Linked DNA regions of Tamandua tetradactyla. The protein of the gene in region 1 interacts with the protein of each later gene in a biochemical or structural test. Links are inferred from orthologs where the notes say so. Each region holds a gene or a part of one and is shown in the gene's direction. Other genes may lie near its edges.

Region 1 (6,968 bases):
CCCCTCAGGGACCCTCCCCCTCTTCCCTCCTCTAGCATTTCCAGTCCTTGCTCCTACTCCACCAGGCCCCTCCACCCACCCTGCCCGCTGCAACCCTCCTCACTCTGGTCTCTGCCTCCACTCCGTCCAGACCTTAAACCTCAGGGGCACATGCCCTGATGCCTTCCGGCAGTGGAGACGTCTCCCCAGGGGCCCTTGAGAGCAGCCTGCAGGGACCGGGGGCGTGGGGGTGGTGGTGCTGATCCAGCTCCCTCTAGCTGACAGCTCCCACTCTCCCTCAGCCTCGGGAAGCCTCCCTCTCCCCTCCAGGACAGTTCCTTATCCCCTGAGTGCACCCTTCTCTCTACCTGCTCCCCTCAACGTGGGTGCTCCCCACCCCCGACCGATTTTATTTATCCAGAGGCTTCCCAGCCCTTCCCTCAGAGCCCCCCACAAGGTCCTGCACTGATGCCTCAGCCGCTCATTCTCCCCGCTCCAAGCCTGTGCATTCCCCAGTCTTCCCCTGCTTGTGCCCTCAGAACACGGTGTCACAAGACCTCAAGGGCTCCCTACTGCCTAAGGGACAGGGTCCCTGCTCTGGCGCCTGGCCACAGGGCAGACATTGGCCCCTCTCTCTCCTTAGTTCTTCCCGGCCCCCATGCCTTGCAGGAACCCTGGGCAGGTCCCAGAACATCCCAGGGCCTCCCTCGGTGCAGGACCCCTGGGTCCCCAGGCGGGGTTAGATGTCCCTCGGGGCTGCCCTGGGCTCAGGTCCAGGTGCCGTGTCTGCGCCCGCGGTAGCCAGCCTCCCCTGCGCTCAGCCAGCGCCCCGCACGAGCGGTCCGTGCACGCGTTCGGCTGCAAGCGGCGGACCACCTGGGGAGGGGTCTGGACTTCCTGTGGCGGAGAGGCACCCCCAGCTGGGAGAGGGTGTCAGGTCCAAGGTGGGAGCAACCGAGCAGGTGGGCGCCAAGCGGAGGCCGGCTTTCCTGCCCACCTGTCCTTAGCACCCCTGTGCCCCTGCGTCCTCATCAGCCCTAGGGAACCGGCCTCAGCCCAGGCCTCAGCCCCGGGACCCCCACCTGGGGGAAGCCGGAGGGGCGGGGTCCGAGGCCGCTCGGGGTGATGTAATCCTCGCCGCCGCCGGCAGGTGTCACCCCGCCGTTTCTGTTGCGGGCGAGGGGCGGGGCCCGGCCGCGGGTTCCCTCCGCCCTCCGCACCCGCCTCGCCGTCACTCCGGCGTCCCGCCTCTCCTCGGGGTCTCTGCTCTCCGCCCCGCTCCCGTCGCTCCCTTTGCGGGCTCCGAACGAGGCCCGGGGCCCGGCGCGGTCTGAGGGCGGAGGCGACTGACGCGGTCAGGGAGGAGGCGCCCGAGCGGGAAGCCCTGGGTCGCCCCCGCCCCGACGTCGGTCAGGGTCCTGCGTGGGTTGGTGGCCAGGCCTCTGCCCGCGGCCGCCCCGTCGCGGAGGAGGGCTGCCCCAGCATGCAGGCCCGACCCAGAGGAGGGAAGGGACCGGAAAGTCTTGACATACGACATACCTGCGCAGCCGGCCGCAGGCCTGCACAGCCAGTTGGCAGAGGTGGGTGGGTGGGGTCACCTGGATTCCTCATCAGCCCTGGCCTGACCTCCTTGTGGCCTGCTGCTGGCCTGGGGGGCCGGGCCACACCCAGAGCCACAAAATGAAAATAAAATCCAGGGTCAGTCCGAGCCCTGCCCCAAGGCGCTGCCCCTGCTGCCTCACTGCCCCCTTCCAATGCCCAGTCCCCAGTCTCCACCCCCCAGCAGCGTACAGCCCTGGACACTGCTGGGTGGAAACTCCTGAGCCTTTGCCATGCTGTCCCTTTGGCCTCGTTGCCTTTACCTGTGCCTCTGCCACTCACGCCTCTGTCACCACCCACCACTGGCCTAGGGAGCTGGCAGGAGCCTTGGCAGGGCTCGCAGAAGCTCCCTGAGGAGCATGTGCCCGGCAGACCTTGGGGGCACCTTTCCTTACTTCTGTGGCCCGGGCCTCTGTACTTATTCTGCTTCCTTCCCCTTGGTACCACCTTTACTTATTCTCCAGCAGGCGAGCAAGGGCCTGGGGCTGATCTGAGAGCCTATGAGGGTGGGGGAAAGAAGTCTCCAAGCCCCCTGACTCAGAGGGCCAGGGCCCCTTCCTCTCCCACCCCCCTGGCTCAGGGTCTCCCATGCAGCCAGCTCCCCCCTGCAGGTGTGACCCCACAGCTCCAGCCTGGCAGGTCCTGGGTGGTCCTGGTTGCCGTGGGCAAACACCCAGGCCCCACTCGGGTAGAGCGTGGACTGCCTGCACCCGCGTCCTCAGCCTGCAGGGGCAGCAGGGCCAGGGTGGGGCCAGGGAGGCCCAGTCGTGGCATGACGGCACGCAGCCAGGCCCGACTGCAGTGGCATCCTCTGGGACCTGCAAAGATGGGGGCGAGAGAGCAGCTCTGAAGCCTGAGTGGCTTTTAGGGGCAGCTGCTGGGATGTGAGCACCCAGGGGGCCTGGGCCCAGGAGGCTGACCAGAGGGAGAGGGCTGGGAGGCCAGGCCTGGGGTGCTGGAGGGAGGAGAGCTGCCAGGTCTGAGCTGAGCCTGCCGCTGCCGCCCTGATGGGGAACTGGCTGTGGTGGCCATGCCTGCCTCCGGGGGACCAAGTATGTGCAGGGGGTCGGGCAGGGCTGGGAGGGGCCGGCCGAGGGGGCAGAGGGCGTGCCTGTGACTCGATTGTTTCCCTGCTACAGAGACTGCCTGAGCTTTAGCTGGGAATCTTGCCTAAGCCTCTTCCCTCTCCTTCTCCCAAGCTCAGTTTCCTGATCTGCGAAATGGCCGGGGCCCCTTAGGGTGCCCCAGGTGAAATGCATACAGCGTGTGGTCCACAGGGGGCACCCCAAAGCACAAATGATTCATCACTGTGGTTGTGGCCGTACGCCTGGGGGAAGGGGTGCTGGACTGTTGAGGCAGGTGGAGCTGGGGTGGAGTGGGGGTGCCGGCCGGCAGCGTCCTGCTCAGCGTGCAGCGGCTCCTATGGCCACTGCCAGCGCTGGGGGTGGGGGGTGGGGGGAAGCATGGCGCAGACACCCGTGTCCCAGCCAGACAAGTGCAGGGTCCTCTCCCACCCCATTCCAGCCGCCACTGCAGAGTCACAGTCAAGACCTGGGGCGGGGTGTGTGTGAGAGAAAGTGAGGGGCCCCAGAAAAGGGACGGAACGGGTGGGGGGGGGATGTTTATACCCAGACAGATAGCACCAACACTCCCCGGGGGCCCAGGATGTCACCAGGTCACCTCCCTGGCCATATCACTATTGAGCCCCTCTTGCATCCCCCGGGGACTCTGTGCTGGGCGGGGGCAATTGGGTGGGGGAATGGAAGGACCCAGAGACAGGGGAACGGGGTCGGACAGCAGGACGAGTCGGGGAGGGGAGGGGAGAGGGAGGGAGAGAGGGCTTTCTGGAGGGGGGTGGGCATTGCGTGGGGTCCCTAGGCCCGGAGCCCCTTTTTTTCACCCCTTTAAGAGCCTGCTTCCAAACCGCGCAAAGAGTAGGTGCTCCATAACGTGCTTGGACCCAGAGGCAAAGGCTGCCCAGCCCGGGGCAAGGCAGAGGGGTCCGGGCGGCCCCGCAGACACCCCCTCGCCGGCGGGCCGTGGAGGCAGGGGCCGGGCGGGCTGCGGGCGCGGGGCGGGGGCCGCGGGGCGGAGGAGGCGGGAAGGGGCGGGCGCGGGGGGCGGCGCCGCCACCGAGCCGAGCCGAGCCGGAGCCCCAGGCGCCCCGAGCCGGAGCCGGAGCCACCGCGAGCGCCGCCGGGCCGGGATCAGCCGCCGCCGCTGCCGTCCGCGCCCGCGCCCGCGCCCCTGCCTGGCGGGCGGGTAGTGAGCGCCGCGCCGGGGTGGGCCGGGGTGGGCCGGGGTGGGCCGGGGCCCCGCGGCGCCATGGCCGGGCCCGAGCCGCTGCGGCCGCGCCTGTGCTGCCTGGTGCGCGGCGAGCAGGGCTACGGCTTCCACCTGCACGGCGAGAAGGGCCGCCGCGGGCAGTTCATCCGGCGCGTGGAGCCCGGCTCCCCCGCAGAGGCGGCCGCGCTGCGCGCCGGGGACCGCCTGGTCGAGGTCAACGGGGTCAATGTGGAGGGAGAGACGCACCACCAGGTGGGTGGCCCCCGCCCGGGACCCCATCCCTGGGACCCCCGCGTCTCGGCCTGCGCCACGGAGGCAGCGGTGGGGGGGATGGGGGGTGGGGAGTGGGGGCTGCCGGCCTCCTTCCTAGACTCCCCCACCCCCCAGGAAGCTCAGCCCTGCGCCGCGCGGGGGTGGGGGCTGGGGGTGCCGCCTGGCAGGGAGGGGCCGCACTGCGGCTCGGGCCTTCTCTGCTTAGGTGCCTTTGGCCTCGGCGCCCAGTGTAGGGGTGCCCTGCATCCTAGGGGTCTTGGTGGGTCCCCACTTGGGGACCCTGCGTGCTTTCTTACGTTTGCATACACCCTGGGTGTGTGTGTGAGTGTGCCGGTCACCCGCGTGTGCATACATCTGTGTGTGTGTATGCATCTCTGACAGTGTTCACAGCCAGGGCTAGTGTGTACATGGACTCACCAGCGCGTGCGCATGTGTGTGCAAGCGCGTGGACAAGTCTTCACGCCTGGATGTATACAGGTTTGTGTGTGTGTGCAGCGCTGCATGCCCAGGTGAGTGTGAGTCCGACTGTGTGTGCACTCCCCTGCGTGTGGCTGTGTGCATGTTGGGCCCCGGGGACTTGGCCGTGTGTGCCCCAGCCAAGTGGGTCTGGGTCAGCTGCTTGTGGCAGCACATCCGTTAGCTCCGCTGGCCACAGCCCCTATCTGCAGCTGCAGGGCACGGGCCAGAGGGGGAGGGCAGGGGTCTTCTCAGTGGGTTCTCACTCCTGGGGGGTGCCTGCCCCGCTGGCCTGGGTCCTCCAGCCCTGCAGGGTCATGACCTGTCCACGTGGCTAGGTCTGGGTGGGCCAGGAGCTGAACTCCTTCTCCCACCCCAGGGACCCTCATCTGTCCATCTGTGTGCCCTCCTCGTATCCTTCTAGACCATCAACTGGATACGGTGGTTTGCTGGAGGAGTGTGGGGTCAGGGGCTGGGGGGCTCGACCTGGTGGGCCGGGGTAGGGACAGGTAGAGTTGGCTTACCCGGGGCCTCTGGGGCACTGGCCTCTCAGAGCTAAACACAGGACCACAGTGCCCCAACCAGCTGCTCCAGGAGGAGAGGGGCAGTTACAGTTCCTACCTGATAGATGGGACACATGCTTGGAAATGTGGCTGACCTACGCAGGGTCACACAGGAGGGGAGTGGGGGGTCTTGGGGTCACAGGGAGAGAGAAAAGCCAGGGCAAAGATGGGTCTGGCTCAGCTACTCCCGTCTGTTGACGTCTGCCCAGCAGCTGATGGGGAGGCCCTGGCGGCGCCCCTAGGCCATGGGGTGGGGTGGGGTCGTGGTCCCGCCTACCACACGGCTTCCTCTCCTTGCGGGTGAACCCCGACGTGCATGCCCGCAGCTGCCTGCGTGCTCCAGGCACGTCACAGGTGCTCACAGACTCACGTAGCAGCCCTAACCATTAGTACCCGTTCCACAGGTGGGCCGGCCCCATCCCCCTCTGCCTCTGGGGCCTGAAGCCCTCTCTCCTGGCCGTCTGAGCCCTGCCAAGCTGGGCGTGGGCACCTGGTCAGAGGAGCCCAGCTCTTTGCTTCTCTGCAGATGCCAGGTCCCAGTCTGTGGCTAACGGAAATGGGGAGAGGCAGGGGCTTAGGGGCTACATGCTGCTGCTGAGAAAGATCCCTCTAGACCGGGCCTGGGGAGACCCTGCTCTGTTCCTGAAACCCGGCCTGAGCGCCAGGCCCCAGGCCATGCATGCACAGACCAAAAACCTGAAGCTCAGACCCTCACCCTCTCCCTCATCCCCAGACAGACTGACCGACTCACGCAGCTAACCCACCCCTGCAGCCCCCTGCCTGGCCCCTCCTGGAGAGGACCCTGGGCTACTGCCAGCCCTGCTCAGATCCCCGGCCCTTGCAACCAGTCCCGGGTGTCGGGAGCTCTGGGAGAAGAGGGCGGGAGCTACCGAGGCTGGGGGTGGGGGGCGGGCCCGGCAGGCATCTCGGTCCAGCCGCCCATCCCTGCCGGCCAGCCCCGGGCGGGGTGCCGTCCTCCCTGGGCTCCGGAGCTGACCCCCCATTCCCCGGGCCAGGTGGTGCAGAGAATCAAGGCCGTGGAAGGGCGGACACGGCTGCTGGTGGTGGACACGGAGACGGACGAGGAGCTGCGCCGGCGGCAGCTCACCTGCACGGAGGAGATGGCTCGGCGGGGGCTACCGCCCCCCCATGAGCCCTGGGAGCCGAAGCCGGACTGGGTGGCCACGGGCAGCGCGGGCCCCGAGGCAGGCGGGAAGGTAGGCGGGCTTGCCGGGCACCTCCGCCTCGGCCCCTGGGGCTGCTCTTCCCACCCTCCCCCGGTCCCTCCCCACGCCCGGTCCTCTGTCCCACAAAGCTCATTCAGTCCCAAGTGGCTGGGCCCCCTGGGGCGGAGCTGCTGGAAGTCCTGGGACTGCGAGGGCCAGCCCTGCGTCCGTGGAGTCAGCACACGCTGTGGTCAGGGCAGCCGAGGAGGGGCCCCAGAGGGGTGGGTGATGAGTGGGTCTCAGGCCGGGAATCGGGGCTGCTGGCGCCCCGGGTTGTGAGCAGCTCCCCCTTCTCCCTGACCACTTTCCAGGCCAGGAGAACCGGGGAGGAGGGGTCGCGGGGTGGGGGCAGTGCCAGAGGGGTCACTGGGTGGCCTCACTGGGTGGAAGAGGTGTCAGATTTGGGGTTTGTGGGTGCTGGACGAGGCCGGCTATGTGGGGTCTTGACGCGCCATCTCTTCCCCTCCCCAGAAGCCTCCAGCGTGGGGGAGGGCTTTCCCTCTGTGCAGACAGCCTGACCCAGGCCAGGCCGGGGACCTGCGGGCACCTCCAGTTCTCTGAGGCTGGAACAGGCCCGGGGTTGGGT
Region 2 (7,693 bases), on another chromosome or scaffold:
TGGCCCACCACCCACCCCTCCCTGGCCTGTCTTCCATACTGTACTGCAGTGACCTGATCTCATCAACTCCCTGCTTAAAATGCTGCAGTGACCCCTCCTGACCCTCAGGATAAAAGCCAGAATCCTCTCTGGAGTCCACAAGGCCCTGACACCTGGCCCCTGATTGCCTCCATCCAGCTTTCTACTCCACCATGTCCCTTCCCTTCCTTCTTTCCTTTCTGTTCAATACACCAAGCTCTCTCGGGTCTCCGAGCTTTTGCACATGCTGTTCCCTCTGCCTCCGTACCCCACCCCCCACACATGGTGTGTGGCCTCTCGACCTACAGGTTTCAGTGGAAATGTTTCTTCCCCAGAGAAGCCTTTCTCTACCTAGACAGGACCCCTCTCCACCAAGCCCTTATTCCCTATGTCTCATTCCTCACACTTTAATATTACTAATCTCGGTGTTTGTATGTGAGCTCTGTGAGGCAGGGTACAAAGTAGGTGCTCAATTAACTTCTGTTGCCTAGATGAGCTGTTGGGAGTCAGAGGTCCCAGCCCAGCACTGCTATACATCCTCGAGCACGTTCTGGCCCTCCTGGGCCTTAGTGTGTCCAATGAGGAGGAGACGTGTGGCCTCTGGGCCCTGCTGTGCTAAGGATCCTTGAGCCATCTGTGTGTACCAGAAGGACTTGCCCCAGTTCCTTGTGGTCCTGGAGCACCGAAGTGGAGGCCACCTAAGAGGCTGGGGAGAGGCTTAGGTGGGCAGTGTCTCAAAGCCCTTACCTCCTGCAACCCTCGCAGGCCTTGGTGGCTGCCGTCTGTCCACTAAGGGCAGCCCTGGGAACCTAAGGTGGGAATATGGCCTGAGGTCTCCAAGGACTAAGGCCCCATCCAGCCTGCAGTGTCAGTGTCCAGGCAGTGGGCACCGATGCTGTGTGATATATATCCCCATGGAAACTTTTTTCCTGTTTGGAGTCTTTTTGTGCCACAGGTCTTTGTTGTAGACAGTGGACTCTTAAGTTGCTCAATTAAATGACCATTAAAGCTCCGAGTTTTAAAAAAAGAAAAGAAAAGAAAAAGCTGAGTATCCAGGGGATAAGAAGGAGGGTAGCTTCCACTTTGTGCCTTTTGTGGCGGTAGGCTGCAGGCACAGGGGTGTACCTGCACGGGGCATGAAAGGATGAAAAGACATTGAGCTGGAGTCAGGAGTCCTGCATTCCAGGTCTCTTTCTCCCTGCTAATTTCCGGCAGGTTCTTTCCATGCTCGGGACCTCAATGCCCACGCCTGTGCAGTGGCTGTGCTCTTGGAGCACTTGAGGCCCTGGCATCCAAGGTGACGGCACTGATGCCTGGGACATATGTGTTGCTTCCTTGGCCCGTGCCTGGGGAGTGTGGGTGCGGTGGGGGTGGGGCCGCGTCTGGGAGCGTGGGAGAGCCAGATGTGGTGGCCGCTGGCCCTGCCGGAGTGAGCGCTGAGCCGGCCTGGTGGGAATTCTCCCACTCAGGCTCCCTTTCCGGACACCCTCCTCCCCCTGCCCCACTGAGAGCTGTGGCTTCCGGCTCTGACAAGCGTGGGTGGGGGTCTGAGGAGGGGAGTCAGTTGAGCCCTGTTCCCTCCTTCAGGGAAAAGCTTGGGCCTCAGAGTTTAGGCAAAAGCTGTGGTTCCAGGCTCGGTTTTGCCAGTGACACATTGTAGGGCCTTGCAAAATTGCTTCGTTGGGCCTCAGTCATCCTGGCTGTAAAATGAGCGGGTTGAACACGTTCCCCTCCAGCCCTGGTAGTGGACTTCTGTGACAGCCGCTCCTGGTGACCCCTGAGAATCAGGCACCGCTGGTGGAGTTTTCTCACTCTGCTCTAGTCCTCTGTTCACACGCCTTCTGGATGTGGCTTATTCAGGTCTCTTAACAGCCCTGTAAAGTAGGCACATTTATCTCCACTTTACAGGTAAGGAAACTGAGGTTCAGAGAGCTCAGATAATATCAGTGGCCAGGGTCACACAATTAGGAAGTGGCAGAGCTGGGTTGGAACTCAACCTTTGAGCAGTACCAGGGTGCTGCGGGGAGGGGAGATGCTGAACCCAAGGCCCAGGGCTCCTCTCCCCTGTACCTCTCTCCCCATCATGTTCCCAGCATGGAACAGGGTTCCCGTGCTCCACACTCTGCCCACCCACTCTCAGCCCAGCCCTCCCCAGGCCAGTCTTGTCTGAAGCCATCAGCTGGGTGGGCTGGGCTCCCAGCATCTGGGCAGGCAGGGGAATGCTTGTGGCTCGTCCTGTCCGCAATGGGGCTGAGCCTATGCTGACCACCCTGGCATGTCAGTGCTGAGCTCCCCTTGTGGCAACCATGTAGCCCTCTCAGAGTACACAAGGGGAAACTGAGGCCCAGAGAAGAGAGGGCTCAGCCTAGGCACACACAGTAATTGGTGGCAATTCAAATGAGGGAAATTCACTATTTCAATAATTATACTTCCAGGCACTGTACTAAACCCTTTTAAGTGCAGTGCTAATTTGCAAGGGTTTTATGAGTCAGTCCTTGGATTCTCTCCATTTACCAGATAAGGAAACTGAGGCTCAGGAATTTAAGTGATATAGCTCAGATGTGGAGAAGTTGGGATTTGATCCCAGGTCTGTCTCTGGCCCCAAAGCCTGCCTTCTTATGACCCTTCGGCATCAACTGTCCAGCTCTCAGCAAGTGCCCTGTGGTGCTCCATGTGGCTTAGCACCAACCCCTTCTCAGCTGAGAGGAGGCCCCATAGCCCTAGTGCCCACCAAGGGTTAATGGTGGTAGGGGCTAAATGATTCCAGATGGGCCAGCGGAAGGCTGGGCTGGCCGGAAACTGTCGGCCGCCAGCTTCCCTAGGGAGCCACCACCAGCCGCCCCCTCCCCTCTGCGCTACATATCTGGCCCCCAGCTGTCCCCCTGCCCGGGGCTCATCAGCCGCCTCTCCCTAGCCAGAGTCCAGCTCTTAGGGAAATTGCAGCAGAGCAAACCTAGGGCTTTCAGGTATAGCGAGTTCACCTCTGTTATGTACAGATGATGAAATTTAGGCTCAGGAACGACAAGCGACCTCTCCAAGGTCAACTAACAGATACGTGAATGGGTCTCCTGACTCCCAGGCCAGCTTTTATGGGGACTAGGAAGTTGAAATGCCTCCTTAAACCCCCTCAGCTGTCTTGGTCCCAGCAGTTGGGCCAAGGATTCAGAGATGAATGGTTAGGCAAGTTCCAGAAGGGGAGCCGCAAATTCCTCAGAGAGTTTTTGGGCATAAAGAGTCCTGTGTGGGTCTAACACTGTGATCTCTGGGGTCCCCCTACATTCCCCTAAAATTCTGCTGCCACCAAGCCCTGGGCTTTGGGAGGTTCTCATGGCCTCCCCACCCCACGGCATGGGGCCAGCCTGAGGACTCTTCTCTCTCCGTGCAGCCCAGTCCAGATGCTAGGCCAGGCAATCCCTACTGGGATAGGACCAAGAATGATCACAAGACAGATTACCATCATTGGCGTGGAATCCCAGCTCAAACAAAACCCTGCCCTGGGAACAGGGGGCTGGGTGGGAGAAAGGAGGAGAAGGGGGTGGGCAGAGGTACAGAGGGCAGAGGGGAAGGAGCCCTGGGTTATATCAGCTCTACCTGTGTGACCTGGGATTCCTTTCTTCCCTTCTCTGGGACTCAGTTTCCCCATGTGCACAAATAGTGGGGGCAAAAATGGGCTCAATGCAATGCTCTTAAACTGTTAGCCCTTTAGCATCTAAGGGCTAGGAGGGAGTGATTAGAGACATCGTCAGGGCAAGGAGGCCAAGGTAAAAGAAGAGTGTGGGAGGTGAGAGGCCTAGCCAGGGGACCCAGGGAGCCTCAGCAGTCCCTGGTAGGGAAGCTGGAAGTAGAGCATACCAGCTACTTAAAAATATCTGTTAATTTTGACTGAATTAAAGAGAGACAGGGAGGGGGTAACCTAGGAAGAAGGCAGAGCAGGAGAACTGTTCTACTCTGAAATGTATGTTAGGATCAGATAACCTATGCCCCTTCAATCACATGGCTCATCAGACCAGTTCTGCTCCAGTTCTGCTGTTGCTGTGTGAGCTTGGGCAGCTCATTTTCTTCCTCTAGGCTTCAGTTTCCTCATCTGTAAAATGGGACAAATAGTCTTTTACTGCCCCTCCCCCCAGAGGCTTTGAAATGATAGGAAGAATACATCTGGAGATCTGAAGATGTGTGCTTTCCCTCTCTGCTCCAAGTTAGCTCTGGGCCTTGATTTCTTCTTCTGATAAGTGACTTATAATCCAAGCCATCTCTTCTCAGAAGTACTCCCCGATTCCCGGAGGCCCCATTTAGGTGCCCTCTTAGCTCCCTGTCCTCCCGGGGATACCTGCTTGATCACTGTGTGTCTCCCCATCAGCCTGTGTCTTACTTGCAATCTCATCCCTTGCTCCCCGCCTGGCTCATTAGTGCTCAGTAATACTTGTTTGCAGAATCACCCACATGGCTCACCAGAGCTCCGTTTACAGAGGGGGAACTGAGGCACAGAGAATGTGCCTCCCTGCCTCCACGTGCCATGGCAAGAGGAGCCACCACCGTGACAGGCAATAGGCAAGTGGGGCTGGGCCACTCTTTAATAAAAGTGACTCAGCGGCTGGCTGGTGTGGGCTGCGGAATTTCTAAACATCCCTTCACATCCTGAGAGAGAGTGAGATGGGAGGGAGCAAGCAGAGGGGAAAAGAGGAAGAAAAACAAGAAACTTGGGGGAAAAGAAAGAGAGAGAGAAAAAAACGTGAAATTGAAAACAGACGCACGCGTCCGCCCTCCCTGCCCTGCCTCCCCCCTTCTCCCAGCTGGGCCAATCGGAGGCCGCCCTGCAGCCTTTCCCCTAAAGTGGGGGGGCAGGGAAGCCCACAGTGGTGTGAGCTCCTGGGGCTGCCAGTGGCCCGGCAGTCCCTGCCCGCCCTGTCTGGGACGTGGGATTGCTCCGGGAGCAACTTAGAGCCACAGAGGACAACAACGAGAAAGAGTGAGCCTGGCCCCTTCGGACCAGCCGCCAGACAGCAGCCTGCACCGTGCCCAGTGCAAACAGCCAGACCCAGGGCGGCCCCTCTTGGCAGCTCGGCCCCTCCCGAAGGATGCTTTGGGAGTGAGGTGAAGCTGGGCTGCTCTGCACCCCTGCAGCCCTCCCACTCCTTCATTGTCCAGAGGCTCCTGGATCCTGCAGCCGCCCTGCCTGCCTTTCTGCCCACCCATTGCCCTGTCTCCACTCTACCAGTCTTCCTAATAAGAGGGAGAGGGCACTGAGGACTTCCTGGAGGCGGTGGCAGCCCAGAACCTGGGACTCTGTCCACACCAGAAGGCATTGAGAGCCAGGTAAGTGCTGAGACGGGGTAGCCGTAGCCCCTTACCCTGTCCCCTTGCTCCATCCTGCACCTCCTTGTAGGTCAGAAAAAGAAAAATATTTTTAACAAAACCAGATGGGAGGAGGCTGAGAGATTGCAGGTGATGTCAGGGCTGGAGGAGCCCGTTATCTCCTTTCCCGGCTCAGGCCGCTTCCGGGGTGGGCTCTGCCTCCGCAACTCTGCTGCCCCTTCCTCAACAACAACCTCCAGTGGTTTCTGGTGGGATGCAGCTTGGGGCCTCCAAAACACAGCATCATCTGTGGGGGGTAGGGAGAGCTGGGAGGGGCGTGAGAGGGGAATTGGGGGATGGCAAACAGGGTACATGGACCTCAGGCACCCAGCCCCTACCCCCAGGCCCAAGCCTTGTCCCTAAGAATGGGACTGGCTCTCTTCCAGCCGGCCGCCAGGCAACCTCTGGGGATTTAAATGGATTTGCAAATTTTCCGGATTCCTAAGATGTCCTTCCAAACCCCCAGGGGCTGGGAAAGTGCGAGGGCAGGGTAGCAAAGGGGGCCCCAGCCTACTGTTTGCGTGGCTGGGACTGGGGGCTGGGGCTTGGCTGTCGGATCTGGGGGTCCCCGTGTGAAGAGGGGGTTGATTGGCAAAACCCTTCCTCCCGTGCCAGTCGGCTGCTCAGGCCTACTCGCCGTCTGCCTCCTGAGCTCCGCTCCTTCTCCGCTCCGTTCTAAGACATAAATCTGATCCCTCCAGCTTCCTGCTCAGAATCCTTCTGTGGCTCCCCAGGGCCTGTAGAAAACCCCAGCCCCTAATAACAGCTGCCACTGATTGATACTTGGGGTATGCCAGGCACTGTGCTGAGGGCTTTATGAAAATGATCTTGTGCAACACTCAGCCCCCAGAAGCAGGAGCTGTTTTTAAACTCCCCTTTACACATGAGGAAATGAGGCTCACAGCAGCCACATAACTATAGCCACACATGAGCTAGTGATGGTGGAGAGTGGAGAGGTGGTAGCCCCCTCACTACTCTGAATCTGGGCCTTTTGTTCCTGCCAAGCAGATCACAGGCTCCCCAGAAAGAATTTATACCATCCTGCCTGTGGGCATTTGCTCTCCCCTTTCCCCCTACCTGGAAGGCCTTTACTCATCACCTTCACTTTTCCTTCAAGGCCACTCCCTACACCTTCCTCCTCCATGCAGCCTTCCTGGCTTTTTCGGTCCCTGGGTCACTCTCAGCTCTGAACTCCCAAGCAACTGTCTTGTACTTTGTGCTGGAACCCTGTTGCTTGGCTTTCTCTCTCTCTCTTTTATTTTTCTTTAGATGGGCAGGCACTGGGAATCTAACTCGGGTCTCCGGCATGGCAGGCAAGAACTCTGCCGGCTGAGCCACCGTGGACCACCCGCTTGGCCCTCTCTTGTTTGTGTTCAGTTCATAACAAAGAGAAAGTGCCAGCCTCAGGTCTCCCCATCTTGTGCCCAGCCCTGGGCAGAAGTGGGGCTGGGAAAACGTGCTGTTGAAAGAGAGGAGGGACTGGCTGCAGATCTTCTGTTCCCAAGTGGGAGACCAGAACCCAGGCCTCCTGCCTTCCCTTAAGTGTCCAGCACGTAATTCCTATATGCCACATTTCCCCATTGCAAGGAGGGAGGGGTGTCCTTGCCCACGCCTGTGAGCCCCAGAGCGCACAAGGCCTCCCTCCAAAGAGCTCTTCATAGCCCTCCCCTTCCTCGGAGCAGGAGGCAGGAGCATCTGTGGACATATCAGGCGTGTTGGTTTCATCATGGAGCACTCACGCCGTGCCAGGCATAGAGTCTGGTACCTCACAGGCCTCAATCCTCACAGCAGGCCTGTGAGGATTTTGAGATCAGTGTTGATTTTAGCCCTGTTTTGTAGGTAAGGATACCGAGCTCAGAGAAGCTAAGTGACTTGCCCAGGGTCACACACCTAGCAGGGTTGGTATTTAAGCTGTGGTCTACCCGAATCCAAAGCCCCATGCTATGCAGGGAGGCCCCGGCCAGAGGGAGAGAGTCTCCATCCTCCCGCAACTTCAGTCTTGTCTCAGGTCTGACCTTCTGCTCCAAGACCCGCCTGGGCCCTGGCTTGCTCCTGAGTGGGGAAGAAGCCCATCTGGACAGGCCGCTCCTCTCACAACCGTGGTTATCAGGCAGGCCTCCCTCCTCTGGGGATGACAGCCATTTCTTGGGAGGACGAGCTGGGACTTGTAATTACCCACAGATGTAGGGCAGTGGAAAGCACCGCGGATTCAGAGTCAGGAGGCTCGGCTGCTGCCCTGGCTCTGCTTACACCCTCTGTGTGCTCAGCCTCAGGCCCCACGTCTCCGCTCTGGGCTTCCTCCTCTTCTGGGAGCCAGTGGGCA
Region 3 (7,676 bases), on another chromosome or scaffold:
CCCTGTGAAGCCATTTAGCCCTGGGCTTTTCTTTGAGGGAAGATTTTTGATGACTGATTGAATCCCTTTACTTGTGTTTGGTTTGTTGAGATCTTCTATGTCTTCCTGAGTCAATGTAGCTTGTTTGTGTGTCTCCAGGAATTTGTCCATTTCATCTAAGTTGTTTAGTTTGTTGGTGTATAGTTGTTCATAGTATCCACTTATGATTTCTTTGGGGTTTGTGGTAACACACCTCTTTTCATTTCTGATTTTGTTTATTTGCATCCTCTCTCTTTTTTTCTCTGTCAGTCTTACTAGCGGCCCATCAATTTTTTTTTTCATTCAGTGTTTTAACATAATTACTTTACAATTAGGTAGTATTGTGCTGTCCATTTTTGAGTTTTTGTATTCAGTCCTGTTGCACAATCTGTATCCCTTCAGCTCCAATTACCCATTATCTTACCCTATTTCTAACTCCTGATGGTCTCTGTTACCAATGACATATTCCAAGTTTATTCTCTAATGTCGGTTCACATCAGTGGGACCATACAGTATTTGTCCTTTAGTTTTTGGCTAGTCTCACTCAGCATAATGTTCTCTAGGTCTATCCATGTTATTACATGCTTCATAAGTTTATTCTGTCTTAAAGCTGCATAATATTCCATCATATGTATATACCACAGTTTGTTTAGCCACTCGTCTGTTGATGGACATTTTGGCTGTTTCCATCTCTTTGCAATTGTAAATAATGCTGCTATAAACATTGGTGTGCAAATGTCCGTTTGTGTCTTTGCCCTTAAGTCCTTTGAGTAGATACCTAGCAATGGTATTGCTGGGTTGTATGGCAATTCTATATTCAGCTTTTTGAGGAACCGCCAAACTGCCTTCCACCGTGGTTGCACCATTTGACATTCCCACCAACAGTGGATAAGTGTGCCTCTTTCTCCACATCCTCTCCAGCACTTGTCATTTTTTGTTTTGTTGATAATGGCCATTCTGGTGGGTGTGAGATGATATCTCATTGTAGTTTTGATTTGCATTTCTCTAATGGCGGCCCATCAATTTTATTGATTTTCTCAAAGAACTAACTTCTGGTTTTATTGATTTTCTATTATTTTGTTCTTCCATTCATTTATCTCTGCTTTAATCTTTATTTCTCTTCTCCTATTTGATTTGGGTTTAGTTTGATGTTGCTTCTCAGTTCTCTTCCTCCAGTTTGCTGTTAAGTCCTTGATTGTTGCTCTTTCTTGTTTTTTACTATAGGCATTTAAGGCAATAAATTTACCTCTCAGCACAGCCTTTGCTGCATTTCATAAGTTCTGATAAGTCGTATCCTTATTTTCATTTATCTCCAGATAGCTACTGACTTCTCTAGCAATTTCTTCTTTGACCCACTGGTTGTTTAAGAGTGTGTCATTTACTCTCCATATATTTGTGAATGTTCTCCTTCTTTGGTGGTTATTGAGTTCCAGCTTCATCCCAGTTTGATCAGAGAAAGTGCTTTGAATAATTTCTATATTTTTTACATTTATAAAGACCAGTTTTGTGCCCCAGCATATGATCTATCCTGGAGAATGTTCCATGAGCACTACAGAAGAATGTCTAACCTTGTGCTTTGGGGTGCAATGACCTATATATGTCTGTTAGGTCTAATTCATTTATCAAGTTATTTAGCTTCTCTATTTCCTTTTTGATCTTCTGTCTGGTTGTTCTATGTATAGAGGAGAGTGGTATATTGAAGTCTCCTTCTATTATTGTTGAAACATCTATTGTTCCTTCAGTTTTGCTGATGTCTGTCTCATGTACTTTGGAGCACCTTGATTGGGAGCATAAACATTGGTGAACTGACCCTTTAATTAGTATATAGTATCCTTCTTTGTCTCTTATAATGTCTTTCAAATTTCTTTCAGTAGTCGAAGGCCTTGTGCTTGTGGGATGGTTGTACAGCAGGGAGCAGAGCATGGGTTAGAACACTAAGTATGGTGATTTGTTTCAGGCATGTATGGGCACAGGTTGGGGATGTTAGGCTGATGCTTGTGAAAGTGGGTGCCTGGTGGCCAAGGAGGACGTAGCCGTGCGGGTGCTCCATTCTAGGGGGTGTAACTCTGATGTGTGCTATGCTTGACTTTTAAAAGGTGTTGCATACAATAAGCCTCTGTTTAAAAGCTGTTTTTAGGGGTGTATGAGTGGTTCAGTGGTAGAATGCTCACCTTCCTTGTGAGAGACCAAGGCTTGATTCCAGGACCATGCTCCTCCCCCACACCACCACCACCACCACCACCACCATCACCACCAATCACCATAAAAGCTATTTTTTTCTTTTCATCGGCAGGCACTGGGACTCAAACCCAGGTCTCTGGCATGGCAGGTGAGAACTCTTGACACTGAGCCACCATGACCTGCCCATTAAAGCTGTTTTTAATAAGGCTCTTTTAACTAAGGTACAAGGGTGTCATAACTATCAAAACTTTTGTGTGTGGCCTAGGCATCTGTATTAATCACAGTTCTCCAGTGAAAAGAATCTACAGGATATATATATTTAAATATTATGAGACTGTAGAAATTGGCTAATGCAACTGGGGGGATGGGCAAGTCTGAATTCCATAGGGCAGGCACCAAGGTGGGAACTCCAATGAAGGTTTCCATGAATTTCCCAGGGGAAGACGGATGGCTGAAGTAGAGACAGAAATTCTTTGCTGAAATCACCAGTCCTCTTTTTAAGGTCTTCAGCTGATTGGAAGAGACTTATCTCATTGCTGAAGGCAGTCTCCTTTGTTGCTTGTATATGTAGTCAACCATAGAAACAATCAACTGACTAATATTAAACCTATGAAGTACCCTCATAGCAACAAGCAGACCAGGGCTTGCTTGACCAAACAGCTTGACACCATAACCTAACCAGGCTGACACATGAACTTAACCATCACAGCATCCATTTCACTTGGGTGAAGCTTCAGCACTGATTTTAGTTGGTTAATGAACAGCTTTCCAGCCCTGGAGAATAAACTCCCCCAGAGCTGAAACCCACATATGTGACAAACACCACCCACATCCCTGACCCCAAGCCCACAGCTGATTTCAAATGATCTGCTACCCATCTGCAATGCCCTTGGACTCCTAAGGGTTCATGTTCATTTTAACCAGTCCTTGACTCCCATAGGAAATCTATAACCTCCTTCTCTGCATAGCAATAAAGGCACCAGCCCATTGGTCCCTCTCATTCTGATTGTGTGCTCCCCACCTGCTGAGTGAGTCACTCAAGCTGATCAGGCTTCTGGTCAATCCCTCATGTCACCCCTATCTCTGGGACCTGTGGGTAATAAACTATCTTTTCTCATGCATTAGTGCCTCTGTTTCTTATTGAGTTATACCTGACCTCTACTCAGACCTAAATTTAAAATCTAACTTACTAATTTGAAACAAAGGGAAATTATAAGAAATTATAAGAAATAATAATAAAGTGATTTTATAACCACCAGCAACATGTAATCTTTGATCTTTTTTTCATTGAGGGCTGAAGGGAAGAGAAGCTGCTGAGCTGGTAAGGTGGCTACACAAATAATGAAGACTTATGAGTTGGAACACAATTTGTTCATTCATCCCTACAATCATTCAACCCAGTTTTCTGGGTACTTTTCATACGCACTGACCATCCACACATACTAGCTTGAATCCAAATTAGGTTTCATCATTTACTAACTCTTAGGACCTTAGACGAGTTCTCTTCTTGAGCCTCACCTTCACCTGAAAATAGGGATAACAATACCTTCTACAATGGGGTTTTGCAAGAAATTAAAGAGGTAAGGTACCCAGAAATGCATATAACTGGTGTTCTGTAATATGTTCCTTTTGCTGCTGTTATTATAAAGTCTGAGAGAGCAATCAAAGAAATCATAAGATAGTCTCTCTCCCCTCATATACCCCTTTCCCAGTCTAAGAGAGCAGCAAAAACTCCACAGAAGTCCACCAAACAATGCAGCTTGTAATGCCAAAAGCCTGGCCCCCAAGTGACAGCATTCACTCATCCTCCAAAATCATTTGGGTTTTGCTAATCTTCTTTGACTTCCATTTTTTTAGGGCTTTGCAGCTCTACAAAGATATTGTGTGAAACCCTGACTGCACGAGCTCATGTGTTTGGCTCGCAGGTTGGAGAACCTTTCACAGTACACTTGTTTGCTCCTGGTGAGGTCAACGCGCCGCGCCGGGGTGAGGGCTGCTCAAGCTGCAGCTTTCGCCAGATCTTCTTAAAATGCCAGCCTCGGGGGGCGCTTCTGAGAAGCAAGGCAGGGCAGGAGCCGATGCCTCCCGTCGCCACTTTGTGTGTGGGTGCCTTGGCGCTCATCTTTGAACTTCAGTGAAGCTTACGTTCAGGTCTCAACACGTGGGTGCCTCCGCGCCGCCGGACCTCTCCCTCGTGCGGGCTGACTGCACGGGCTCTCCACGCTTTGCTGTTTGCCTAACCGCGTCCATACAGCCACGTCGGCTCCCCCTCGCCTTGCACTGCGCGCAGACCCCAGGCCTCTTAGCCTGTTACCTTAGCTTGCCATCCCTTCCAGCTGCACTACCAGGTGGCCCGTGGGCCGCGCTCGGCCACTGCACGAGGCTCCCGGGCCCCAGGCGCGTGGGGGGCACTCTCGGAGGCCGCGAGGGCTGGGAGGCGGGGACGGGGCGTGCCGCCGGCGGCCAGCTTCCGGAAGCGGGTGTTTCTTTGACTGCTGCGGAGCAGACTCGGTATTCCAGCGAATCACCCGAGGCCACCAGGAGCAGCGGGAGCGGCGGGAGCCGCAAGTGTCGCGGGAGCAACGCGACCCCGGCCTGTACCCGCCCTTCCTTACCGGCGAGATGCTGCCGGTGTACCCGGACGTGAAACCCAACCCTCTGCAGAACGCGAACCTCTGCTCGCGCGTGTTCTTCTGGTGAGCAGCCCCGCCGCCGCACTCCGCCGGAGCTGGTCACCCTCCCGCCGCTCGTGCCGGTGGGCACGACCTGTCCCATCCTGCCCTGGCAGTCCGTTTCTCCCCTCCCTTCTTCCCCCCCCCACCGCCGCTCCGCCATCCGCGACCGCGGAGGCTCTCTCCCGGGGCTCTAGCCTCCTGTTCTGCGTTTCTTTTGGTGGTGGGTGGGCCTGGGTCCGAGCGTCGCGAGCGGTTTCCGCCCGTGTCCTTGGATCCACGCCGGGGCTTCCTGCCGCGGGTGGGGCCGCCCGTCGCGCCTTCGTCGCCGGCCGCGGGGCGCCTGCTTGCGCCCTGGTGTGCGGCGCGGGCGGGAGAGGAGCCCGTGGGCTGGGCGCTGGACCCAGGAACTGACGCGGAGCCGCGGGACCTGGGAGGGCGCAGGGCACGTGCGGGTCTCCCCCTCTCTCCGCGGTACCTCTCAGTCCCGCCGGTCCTCAGTGTCCGGGAGCAAGAGCTGCAGGACGCGGAAAACCCAGGCTGCCTGAAGGTAGATTGCCTTCCCAGGTGGAGAAAGTACTGGAATCCCCAAACTCTCATCCCTAGCTGGCTTCCCACCTACCACTCAGGGATTCGCAGTTCTGCGCTAGATTTGCACTTTTTTTTTTTCTCTTTTTTTGAATAAGCATTTTATGAACAGCTTCCTTCATCTGATCCAGAGTCTAATTAGTGCCCGGGACCAGCACCATCTCCCAATAGTGTCCCCACCCCTTCCGATAGTCCTTAGGTGACAGCTGCGTTCCAACTCTACGGAGCTCCCGCTGTGTGTCTGTCTCTCTGTTCTCGAGTTTCTCTTGGTATCCGTGTGTGTGTGTGTGTGTGTGTGTGTGTGTGTCCTTCTCTCTCTTGTGTCCGTGTGTATCTCATTGTGGGTTTGAGTCTGTGTTGTACCATGGTACCTAGTTGTGGCAAATTTCACGTGGGTAAAACGGCACTTTATTTTTAATATAATGAATAGGAACATTAATCTCTAGAAAGATCCGCTTCCACATTTTGCTTTCAACTGTGAGACCATAGCCAAGACTGGAGTATGTCTTTGGCTAGTCTCTTTCCCTATTGCTAAAATTTTCACTTCCACTTTTGCTACTTTTGAGAACAACTTTGGAGATGGGGGATCCCTGTAACCTTGTAGTAGTACAGGTCTTGCCCGGATCTCTAGGTCTCAGGGGAGGATCTGTGATTTTGATGTCAGTGGTCCTGTCAGGGAGTCAGGAAGGGTGGCTGAGCTGGGAGGGACCTAGAGCTATGTTTCTTATGTGAGTAAACAAGCAGGTGAGGAAATGGGGTCTGAGGACTGAACTTGCCTAAGTACAGGTTTGTAGCTAGAAGCTGTGAGTACTAACTACGTAGACTTGAACCTTTGGGCATTAATCGCCGGTGGATGATTATTAGACATTTTTGTTTCCTGATCTCTGCCCTTTCGTCTTTTCCACATATTCTGATGACTAATGTTTCCTTCTTTTTTTAAATGGGAAAACCTACAGGATCCCAAGGGGTTGAGTGCGCCCACTATTGTTTTAATTGTAGTTTATTCGCAATTCTCTTGGCCCTTCTCTTGAGGCAGGGGAGCAGAGGAGGAAGGAATATGGGTGTGGTGCCCATAAATAAGAACCTGAAGGCAGGCAGGCAGGCGTTCTCATTAAATTCAGGTTGGGCCCTGGACTCTTGTAGCACTGTCTAAGTGTGGATTTTCAAAATGTAGTTGCAGGGCAGGAACTGAAGCAATGAAGGACAGGGGAAGGTGATGACTAGGGTAGGTGTCCAGCTAGAGGGGAAGGAACTAATTACTCTGTTTTACACATGAAGGCACTGAAGCCCAGAGAGTTTGAATAAATTGCTTAGGATCACACAGTGGCAAAGCAGGATCCAAATGCAGGATGTTCTGGCTCCAGAACCTGTTTGTAACCTCTGAAGTGGGCTGCTGCTTTGGGGTACTTGATGTTAAGTGCCTGGAGAAAGCTATTTCACATAGACCCTTGTTCATGGATGCTGGAGTTTTGCAAAGGAAATTCTTGCTTTTGGTGAGGATGAAAGTGAAACATCTATTACCATGCTTTAATGCAGGTGTTCTCAAGGTATGGCACTCAGACCGTCCATCTCATCATCACCTGAGAACTTGTTAGAAGTGCAAATTCTCTGGGACCCACTGAAGACTGATAGAGGAAAATGAGAAACTCAGAGGGTTCGGGTTCAACAAGTACTCCAGGTGATGATGATTGAATCAGAATGATGACTGGCTGCTTTAAGGACTTCCTTCTGTTGGCATTGTGATTGCATATTATATTTAAGTGTTAAAGGGGAGGTAGGATATTTTGAAGACAATTGTGGGCAATGTTGGCTGTCCTATTTTACTTACCTTTTGCTTTTCGAGGAAATTTATAGTCTCTGGCAGCTAAGTGATTTTTTGTTTACCCTTCTCCCTGCAATCAGGAAAGCTGAAATGAGCCAGCCAGGAGGTGGCTGCTGGATAACAAGGCCCGCCTCGTAGAGAAAATCTACTTTTTGTTTTCTATTTTGGCGTTTGCTTTTCTTCTCAGATTCCATTTTTCTAAACTTGTGAACTGGTAGCTGCCTACCCAAATGATGCCAATAACCAACTTTCATACAAATGATGTTATTGGAATTTTGATGTTTTTGTAGCACAGTGTGGACTGGGGGTTGTAACCCAGAAATCAGGATTTAAGGGATGATTTTTATTACTGAATTGTTATATAAATATTTCTTTTTGCTTTCTGGCATTTTGGG
Region 4 (7,921 bases), on another chromosome or scaffold:
GAAGGTTCAGCTCAAGTGTAGGTGGAGATCTGAGAACTTGAGTTGAAGTCAGAGTCCCCAGGAGAGGGAAGTGGCCCTTCTCCCCTTTCCATGAAGTACCTGGTACAGACTGATGGAAACTTGGGGCTCTGCAGGGAACTGCCCTCCTTCTCCAGACTGCAAATACCCATTCGAATGCAGCACTTATTTTCTTTTGGGTTACCAGGTATCTTTCCTGGCACACCTTCACCCCAACCCTTGAGTTCTGACAAAGACAAGCTGGCAAACACTGGAAACCCCAGCCCAGCAGCTCCTACAGGCCACAAGTTTCACACATACATGAAGCTTTGAAAATCATCTCCTGGTCCTTGTCAGGTGCAGGCAAGTGGCTCATCTTTCACCTTGACTTCTAAGGGAGCAAGCTTTGGGCCACCCAGGCTGGAAAAAGGCAGGATGGATAAGTGTTTGGGCATGTGGAGACCGGAGACCAATGGCCCATCAGAGAGTGGCTTTCGGCTGAGTGCTAAAAACTTGAACACCTTGAGTCATTCACACCTTACTACCTCTATTTGTTAATTTGGTAAGTATTTATTGAGCTTTCTTTCTGCCTGGCACCGGGCTAAGTGGGCACTGGGGATGCAGCGGTAGAGACAGATGTGGCTGCTGCCCGCAGAGCGGTACAAGAAGAAATGCTGAACTAGGAATGACTATAAGTGCTACAAATCAAATGTAATTGTAAGAGAAAGACCAGATTTAAATGGGGTGAGGGCAGCCTGGAAACCCCTTTCTTTGCGAAACTGACATTTAAGTTTCTTTCTGAGAAAATGACATGGAAGAAATTAGCCCGGTGGGAGAGTGGAGCCCCAGGAGTTCCCAGCAGAGACCCAGCACAGACTTTGTATTGGCATGAGGATGGACAGCCTTAAATGTGTCTTATCTTTATATCGTCAGTCTGTTGCTTAGGTGTAACCTCCGCACTCAATAAAAGTTTGCTCCTCCCCCCGCCCCCCACTAATTTCCACTCCCTTCCCTTTTCTTCCTTTCCCTTCCTTTCCCATCTCCTCCCCTCCTCTTCACCAACGCAAACCTTCTCCCATCCTTTTCTGTTTGGTATCTAAACAAAACTTGGTCCCCTTACCCCAGCTCTTGCCATCTACCACCCATATTTTGGGAGAACTGAAATTGGGAATATTGAACATGCTCTGGGAGCAAGGAAATATATGGAAACTCACTTTTCTCAGCACTGTGTAAGTAGGAGCTGAGTAAATGTTTGCCTTGCTCCGACTTGGTTTAGGACTATTTGAGTATGCCCTCAGGCTCAAGGCGAGGGTTTCTCAGTCAGGCGGATCTAGATGCTAATCTTTGCTCTTTGGGTTTTCTGCTTTGTGACCTTGGGCAAGTTGTCGAACGTCTCTGAGTCTCAGTTCCCCACCTCCCAGGGTGAGATTTCAATGTGGTCATGAACGTAAAGAGACCACACCGTGCCTGGCCCCAAGCTCTCGGACCCCAGAGTCTCTCGCCTCCAGGGGCCGCTCTTTCCACAGAATTGGACATGTCTCTTGGAGCTGGGGACAGGTCCTGAAGCTCTCAGGGCTGCGGTAACTCCTATCTTACACTGGCTGGAGGGCCTCCTCAGCCCCGTTTCTCTCCTCGTTGAGTTCAGTCTGAGCACCTCCGCTCTGGCCTGGGTTTACCTTGTTTGCCCAGGCTTGGTCCAATCACATCCAAGAGGGCAGCGCTTTCCTCCAGGATAGTGCAGAACTCTGAAGTTTAGAAGAGAAGAATTCTTTAAAAATCCCTGGAATAGGAACCCAGGAGGCCCAGCTCTGGGTTGTGGCTGTGAGTTTCTCTTGTCCCCTGGGGCTTGCTCACTTTAACCCACCCCCAACCTTCTTCACCAGCCCCCACCCCCACCTGCACTGCTGTGTCTTCAAAACTCCCTACCAGGCAGAGATAATGCATCCCCTCCATCCACCATTCTTTGCACAGCTGAGACATGGGGGTGTTTCCAAAATAATTTCAGAAACAATGATGATGAACACTAGGAAACAATATATAAAGTACACACAAATAAAAGCCCAGCCTCCAAAGCATTGGCTTCTGACTCTAAGGCCAGTACACACCACCTCCAGACCTCCAAGTCACCTTACCTGGGCTCAGGTGCCCAGCTCCCAGGCTGGCTACATGGTGGGGGTGGGGGGCGTGGAAGGGGATGGCATACCTTCTGAGGCTTCCCTCTGGAGCCCCATGCAGGAGTCATGAAGAGAGCTACGGGCTTTATTTTTAGGATGATCAATGCCCTTGGTGAACAAGTTAGCTTAGATGAAATTTAAAATCTGAACCTGAAGATTTTGTATTTAATGACTCTTGGTATCTCAATTGATTGTTTCCTCGATTCTTCACCACCTCATACAAAAGCAAATGTGTGTGCGAAGTGTGGGCATGCAGGTGTACAAATGCATGTATGCATGTGTGGCTTATGGAAAGGAATGGGGTTGGCTCACACAGGCAGCTTGAAAACAGCTTTTGTTGCCTCTTAGATACACTTCTTAATTTGGGTGCCCATATGTCCTTTGGTGGTGTCAAGTGCTACACCCAAAGGCCACCTGGGTCATGCCTGTCATTGAGCAAGGTGAGCTTCTTGCTGGTGGCAGCCAGAGAGACCCAGGAGGCAGGGGACTCACTCAAAGATGTTGGAAAGGACTTCCTAGGATTTGGGATTGTGGTAGATGTGCTGGATGTCTGGGGACGTGCATCTCTTTTTCAGAGGGCATATGGGGTTGCAGTGATACAATCCAAATCCCAGTGGATGCCTGGTCAGGACAGAACAGCCTTGCCCTGCATACCACACCTCTGCCTAACCTTGTCAGGGGCAGTTATTTCTTCCCTCTTCCTTCTTCTCTTCTCTCATTAGAGACAAGCCCTTTATACAACACATTTGCACTTCCCAGGTCTTCCATTCCGCATTGGGAGGACAGGCTCTGAAACCACTACAGTTCATAGATATACCTATTGCCAGAACTTTGTCATGCTCTCTTAGAATTGCTGTGTTCTAGGAACTTTAAATATGATATTGCAATTAAAGTATACTGTAAATCTTTGAAAGTAATATCATTATAGCCACTCCACAAAGGTAAAGAAATGGAGGCTCAGAAAAGCAAGGAGACTTGCTCAAGCCTTTGCCCCATCAAATCCATGTCTATCCTTAGCTGAGCTGGTCTTTCCTTCCATGTTGCCCTGATTGTGACCTAAATCGTAGGCTTTCCTGGGCCAGCTCTCCTATCCTCTTTTGAGCCCACCTGCGTGCCACACCTCTGGCTTACATGAATGATCTACTCCTGTGCTGTCTACAGAGCACAGTGTGCCTTGTGAGAGTGCCAGTGCAATCAGACCTTGTCCTTCCTGGCTTTTGCTCTGGAAGGAGCGAGGCATCTGGGAAGGCCTGTGTGGCATTTCCGCCCTGAACATAATCCTACTTCATAGCAGAGAGGCCTTGAAGTGTGTTCACTCTGAGGGAAAGGTGGAGTCCTCCTGCAGTACATTCCCGAGCCTAGCCTGAAAGAATCGTGAGGTCCAAATGCTCCTTTCCATGCCCATGAAGCTAGGGAAAAGAGCTGGCGTTGGACTTTCCAAATTTAAATAAGTAGAGTTTGTGCTGACCCCAAAAGAACTAACTGACAATGCCAAAGTCATCAGAGGTAACTTTTCTCTGCATCACCAAACAAAATTTTTTGTGTGTACCATAGGTCCTGGGTAGTCAGAGGAGCTAGTTGACTTTCTGTTCCTTGGGGGCTCTGTTTGCAAATCCTTGAGATTACTTTCATAGAAAACAGGAAATCCTCTGCAGTAGCAATCAGATGCATTTGGTTCTGCTCCTGAGCAAAGGTGTGTCAGAAGAATTCAAGCGTGACACTCAGCCTGTTTGTTCTCCACTTTGGTGTCCTCCCTCTCCCAGGGAGCAGGCTGCTGGCTGCATTTCAATAAGATTACTTATCTGTGAGCTCCTTGGGAGCAGGGTCTTTTACCTCATTTGTTTCCTAGCATAGCATCTGGCACATAGTAGGAGTTCAATACAGAGAATGCTTGCTCAATAACTTGACTAAGAGGGCAGAGATCAGATCCCATAATCCCATCCATTAGCCTTGTTCATGGTGGGGCTTCAAGAAACATCTGTTAATTTAGTTGACTGTTGGCCTGAAAGAAAGTAGTTCATTTTCATGGAAACTTGGATTTTCTGTTCCACCACAACTGCAAAGGGAGTAGAGAAAAACATTTGACTCCTGCTCTTGGGTCCCCATAACTCCTACTTCCTACTTCTTTAACATAAACTCAACTCTCAAGAACACTCTGAAGTTAACTAAGGTTGAGTCTGAGTTGTGTGAGGCTTGACTAAAAGGCAGCTTAATAATAAATACTTTTTCATCTACAGAGATAAATAATAGCCTGAGTAATCCTAAGTAAGAGGTAGTAAAACCAGCACCTATTTGCCCTCTTCTTTCTGATGTAGTACCCACTAAGTATCCTGGGGATGGGAAGGAAGCAGTGTGATAAACTTTAAGAAATCTTAAATTCTTAGTGGATTCTTCTGGGGTCATTGCCTGCAAAGGAACAGCCTCCCTTCTGGTTCTCGAAATATCAGCAGTGACCACAAACTGTAGGTACCTCATTTAATATGCAGAGTGTGGTTAAAGCAGACGTTAATGCAGATGAAAACTGCATTTTTATGGAGAAAAGGAGATAAAGGGGAAAAATATGTTTATTTTCAGGAATTTGAAGGGCTGTTAAGTGGAAGAGACTTCAGACCTATTTAGAAAAATAGTGAGTTTTCTCTGAAGAGGACTACAGTTTCTTTATTCTAGTTTTTCTTTTAGGCTTATAACAAAAATGTCTTTGATGTTATAGCATGGCCTCTCCAGTCTGATTTCTCACCAAGGCCCCTAGTACTCTAAATATTGACAAGGAACTGCTTTCAGTCCCTTTGTGCTCTCTTTAAAATGCCCCCACCTGAATCATCCACACACACAGTTATTAGGACTGTGGTTAATGCTATGTGGCCAAGGACTTGATTCCCTTAGATGGGGAACCATCATTTGTAAAGCCAATACAAGTGACCACAAACTCATGGCTTTTATGTCTACCTTGATGATTTATCACCATTCAACAGTCACTGATTGAGTTCCTACTCAGAACTGGTGCTGCCCTGAGTGCAACCACTGTTTTGTAGCATGGCCCATGACCCATGTTCCCCTGCCTTTAATGGCTTATTGATTTGCTTGTCTCCCACTCCTACCCTTCACGGGAACCATCACAATGACAAGGGCTGGCCTCGCTTGGTAAGGAATTGCTTTCCTGATGTCCGTCACGATGCCTGGGACCCATAGTAAGACTTAATAGGTATTTGTTGGCCAATGATAGATAAATAAATTTATGTATACAAAAGGCAATGAGTTTCCTGTCATGTAAAGTATTTTAGCAGAGGGTAAATACCCATCTAGTGGAGATCTTTCAGAAAATAGATTTTTTTTCAGATGAAGAGCACACCACATTGTAATTGCTGATTTACCTAGCTCACTTCCCCATTAGACCCTGAGCTTCTTGAGAACAGGGATGAGGTTCTATTGTCTTTGAAATCTTGTAAACTCAGTCTACAATAAATGTGTGGAAAATTTACAAGAAGTCTATTTCCTGAAAATGGATTGTTCACAGAACAAGAATGCTGAAGGATTCAAAAAAGGAAAATGGCAGTAACATAATCCAGTTGCTTTGCCAACCCACTAAGAATGCCTTGGTAAATATTAGCTAATGTACAGCCCTATGCTTGCTATTAAGATGGACTGATTTCAACAGAAAGGACCTAAAAACCATTTGTGTTACATAAGTCAGACACCAGGGACAGTCTGTGAACATGCAAGAGTTCATAAAATATAGATTCATTCTGTCTGTGGTCAGATTAAGTGTCTAAACAAAGTAAAATACATGTATAAAAGGTCTGCCTTGTGAATGAAGGGTTTGGTCAAAGGATGAATGTCTCCTGTACTCTTGCATTGTCTGGATATAATACTTCTCACTATTTGAATAAATAAATCAACAGATTGGTTAACCAAGTACAGGTAAAAAGTACCTTCAGTAAATGCCAGATTTTACAGAATAAATCCAACAATAAAGGCTTCTTTTAAACCTCAGTTTCTTATATAACCATGACTGTTGAATAGAGAGATTAACACGCTCTCTTGTTTCTTCCTAGTGCAATCTTATTTCATCTTGCAAATTTGTACATATCCTCTGCCTTTAGCTTTTCAAACCCTTGGAAACCTCCATACCTCAGTATGTTTCAAGGAGCAGGCTGGAAGATTGATGATAAATAATTGTTTCTGGCCATAAGCTATTGAGCACGACTTAGGAGAAACAGCAAGAGTTATTGAGCGTGGCTAAGGAAAGGAGTGAAACTCTGGGCCACAGTCCATACCTGCTGCCCAGGGACCTGAACTGAGGGTTTGTCATGTCTTAGCATGACGGTATTCAAGCCATGTGAGGTTTGGGAAAACACACACACACACTCTCTCTCTCTCTCTCTCTCAGCATGGGGCTTGGTCTAAGAACAACCAATTGCCTTGGTTTAAACCACACAACCCCATTATCAAATTAAGTATTTTCAAGGTAATATAAATTAGCATCAGTCCATGATTGAAGCCTAAAACTAAATTAGCCTGGCTCTAAACGAAATCAACCTGCGGGCAGAGGCCAACTCCCAACATCCCCGCCTTGTCTTACCTAGCCATGGATGCTGCCAGCCAGAAAGGGAATATTTATAAGTTGTTGGTAAGTGAAGACAATCTGGGGATCTGGGAAAAGCATCATAGGGAGGTTGCTTTTGCTTTACATCTTTGCAAGACCTGACAAATACTATTTCATTATTAATACAGTCTTGGAAACCCAACCTTATCCAAGGGATAAGTTGGGAGGTAATTATCCAGTCTGTAGAATGGTTCTGTACCCTCAAAATTGAATGGATTTAAAGTGCTGGTAAAGAAGGGAGGTGGGAAAGAAAAACTCAGAAGTCAGTGTGTTGAGCTCCATCTCTGAAATTATAATGTATGACAAAGATCATGTAGAACTTATTTGATAAACATTGGTTTTAGAATTTATGATTTAAGGTGAGATGAAACTTCTGAAATCTGTGAGCTTCCACATGCCTGGGAAAAGCCGTCGGTCCTCTTTGGATGTAAGTGGGATTAAGGAATGTCTGTGCAAGAGCAGAGGAGAAATGGGGGAAGGAGAACACTATTCCTCCCTCAGTAACCTCATTTGGGACCATCCACTAAGTCTGTTTTGGGACTTGAGGTCCCCAAAGGACTTGGGTGGAAGGAGGCAAGGCTGAATGTATGCATTGCCATTTTCTCTCCTGGTGGGCAAAGTCTATTTTTATATTTTTAGAGCCAGCCCTCAACATTTCATATCACCACGACTGGTTTTGTTTTCACTTCTATTTGGTGTTGGCTTCTTGTATGTTCAGCAGGGTTCAACCACGAGGAAGACAGCGTTGAATGTCACTTTTGTTTAAAATGTATCACTGTCAGTTTCGCTTCCTAGTTTTTATGAATAAACACATTTTCAAAGGGGAATTTTGAAATCTATTTTAAAAACATATTTGCATTTAATTAAAAATACCACAAAGACATTGCCAGCCAAGGTGGGAACATTTAGATTTTTCTTTGGCGTAGTGGAAGAGGTAGTTGAGTGTTAACGAACCCTTGATTTCATCATTGTTTGGCTGTTTGTGAAATCCCTTAATTTGTTGCTGTTGTAAATTAGAAGTCACAATAATGTCATCAGTAAGAAACCACTGATCAGACTGTATCTTGAAGAGCTTAATTTGCTGATTCTTCCATTAATGTTTATTGAATATGCAGTGAGCATCCACAGACTGACTAGCAGGTGGGGG

The links.
Region 2: the proteins of NHERF2 (region 1) and PDGFRB form a complex in vitro, tested with the Homo sapiens proteins (2 studies listed by BioGRID and IntAct, with this or other methods). The link is inferred for Tamandua tetradactyla from reciprocal best matches to the Homo sapiens genes NHERF2 and PDGFRB.
Region 3: the proteins of NHERF2 (region 1) and ABCC4 form a complex in vitro, tested with the Homo sapiens proteins (2 studies listed by BioGRID and IntAct, with this or other methods). The link is inferred for Tamandua tetradactyla from reciprocal best matches to the Homo sapiens genes NHERF2 and ABCC4.
Region 4: the proteins of NHERF2 (region 1) and KCNJ1 form a complex in vitro, tested with the Homo sapiens proteins (2 studies listed by BioGRID and IntAct, with this or other methods). The link is inferred for Tamandua tetradactyla from reciprocal best matches to the Homo sapiens genes NHERF2 and KCNJ1.

What each region holds. Positions count from the first base shown.
Region 1 is NC_135349.1:55,495,812-55,502,779, reverse strand, and holds the start of NHERF2 (Na(+)/H(+) exchange regulatory cofactor NHE-RF2), read left to right. Parts: upstream 1-3,903; coding exon 3,904-4,116; intron 4,117-4,339; exon of another isoform or gene 4,340-4,544; coding exon of another isoform or gene 4,545-4,646; intron 4,647-6,172; coding exon 6,173-6,373; intron 6,374-6,968.
Region 2 is NC_135346.1:30,946,820-30,954,512, reverse strand, and holds the start of PDGFRB (platelet-derived growth factor receptor beta), read left to right. Parts: upstream 1-4,644; 5' UTR 4,645-5,331; intron 5,332-7,693. UniProt on the Homo sapiens protein: Tyrosine-protein kinase that acts as a cell-surface receptor for homodimeric PDGFB and PDGFD and for heterodimers formed by PDGFA and PDGFB, and plays an essential role in the regulation of embryonic development, cell proliferation, survival, differentiation, chemotaxis and migration.
Region 3 is NC_135330.1:163,980,410-163,988,085, reverse strand, and holds the start of ABCC4 (ATP-binding cassette sub-family C member 4), read left to right. Parts: upstream 1-4,668; 5' UTR 4,669-4,821; coding exon 4,822-4,895; intron 4,896-7,676. UniProt on the Homo sapiens protein: ATP-dependent transporter of the ATP-binding cassette (ABC) family that actively extrudes physiological compounds and xenobiotics from cells.
Region 4 is NC_135334.1:7,766,333-7,774,253, forward strand, and holds the start of KCNJ1 (ATP-sensitive inward rectifier potassium channel 1), read left to right. Parts: upstream 1-4,862; 5' UTR 4,863-4,880; intron 4,881-7,921. UniProt on the Homo sapiens protein: Inward rectifier potassium channels are characterized by a greater tendency to allow potassium to flow into the cell rather than out of it.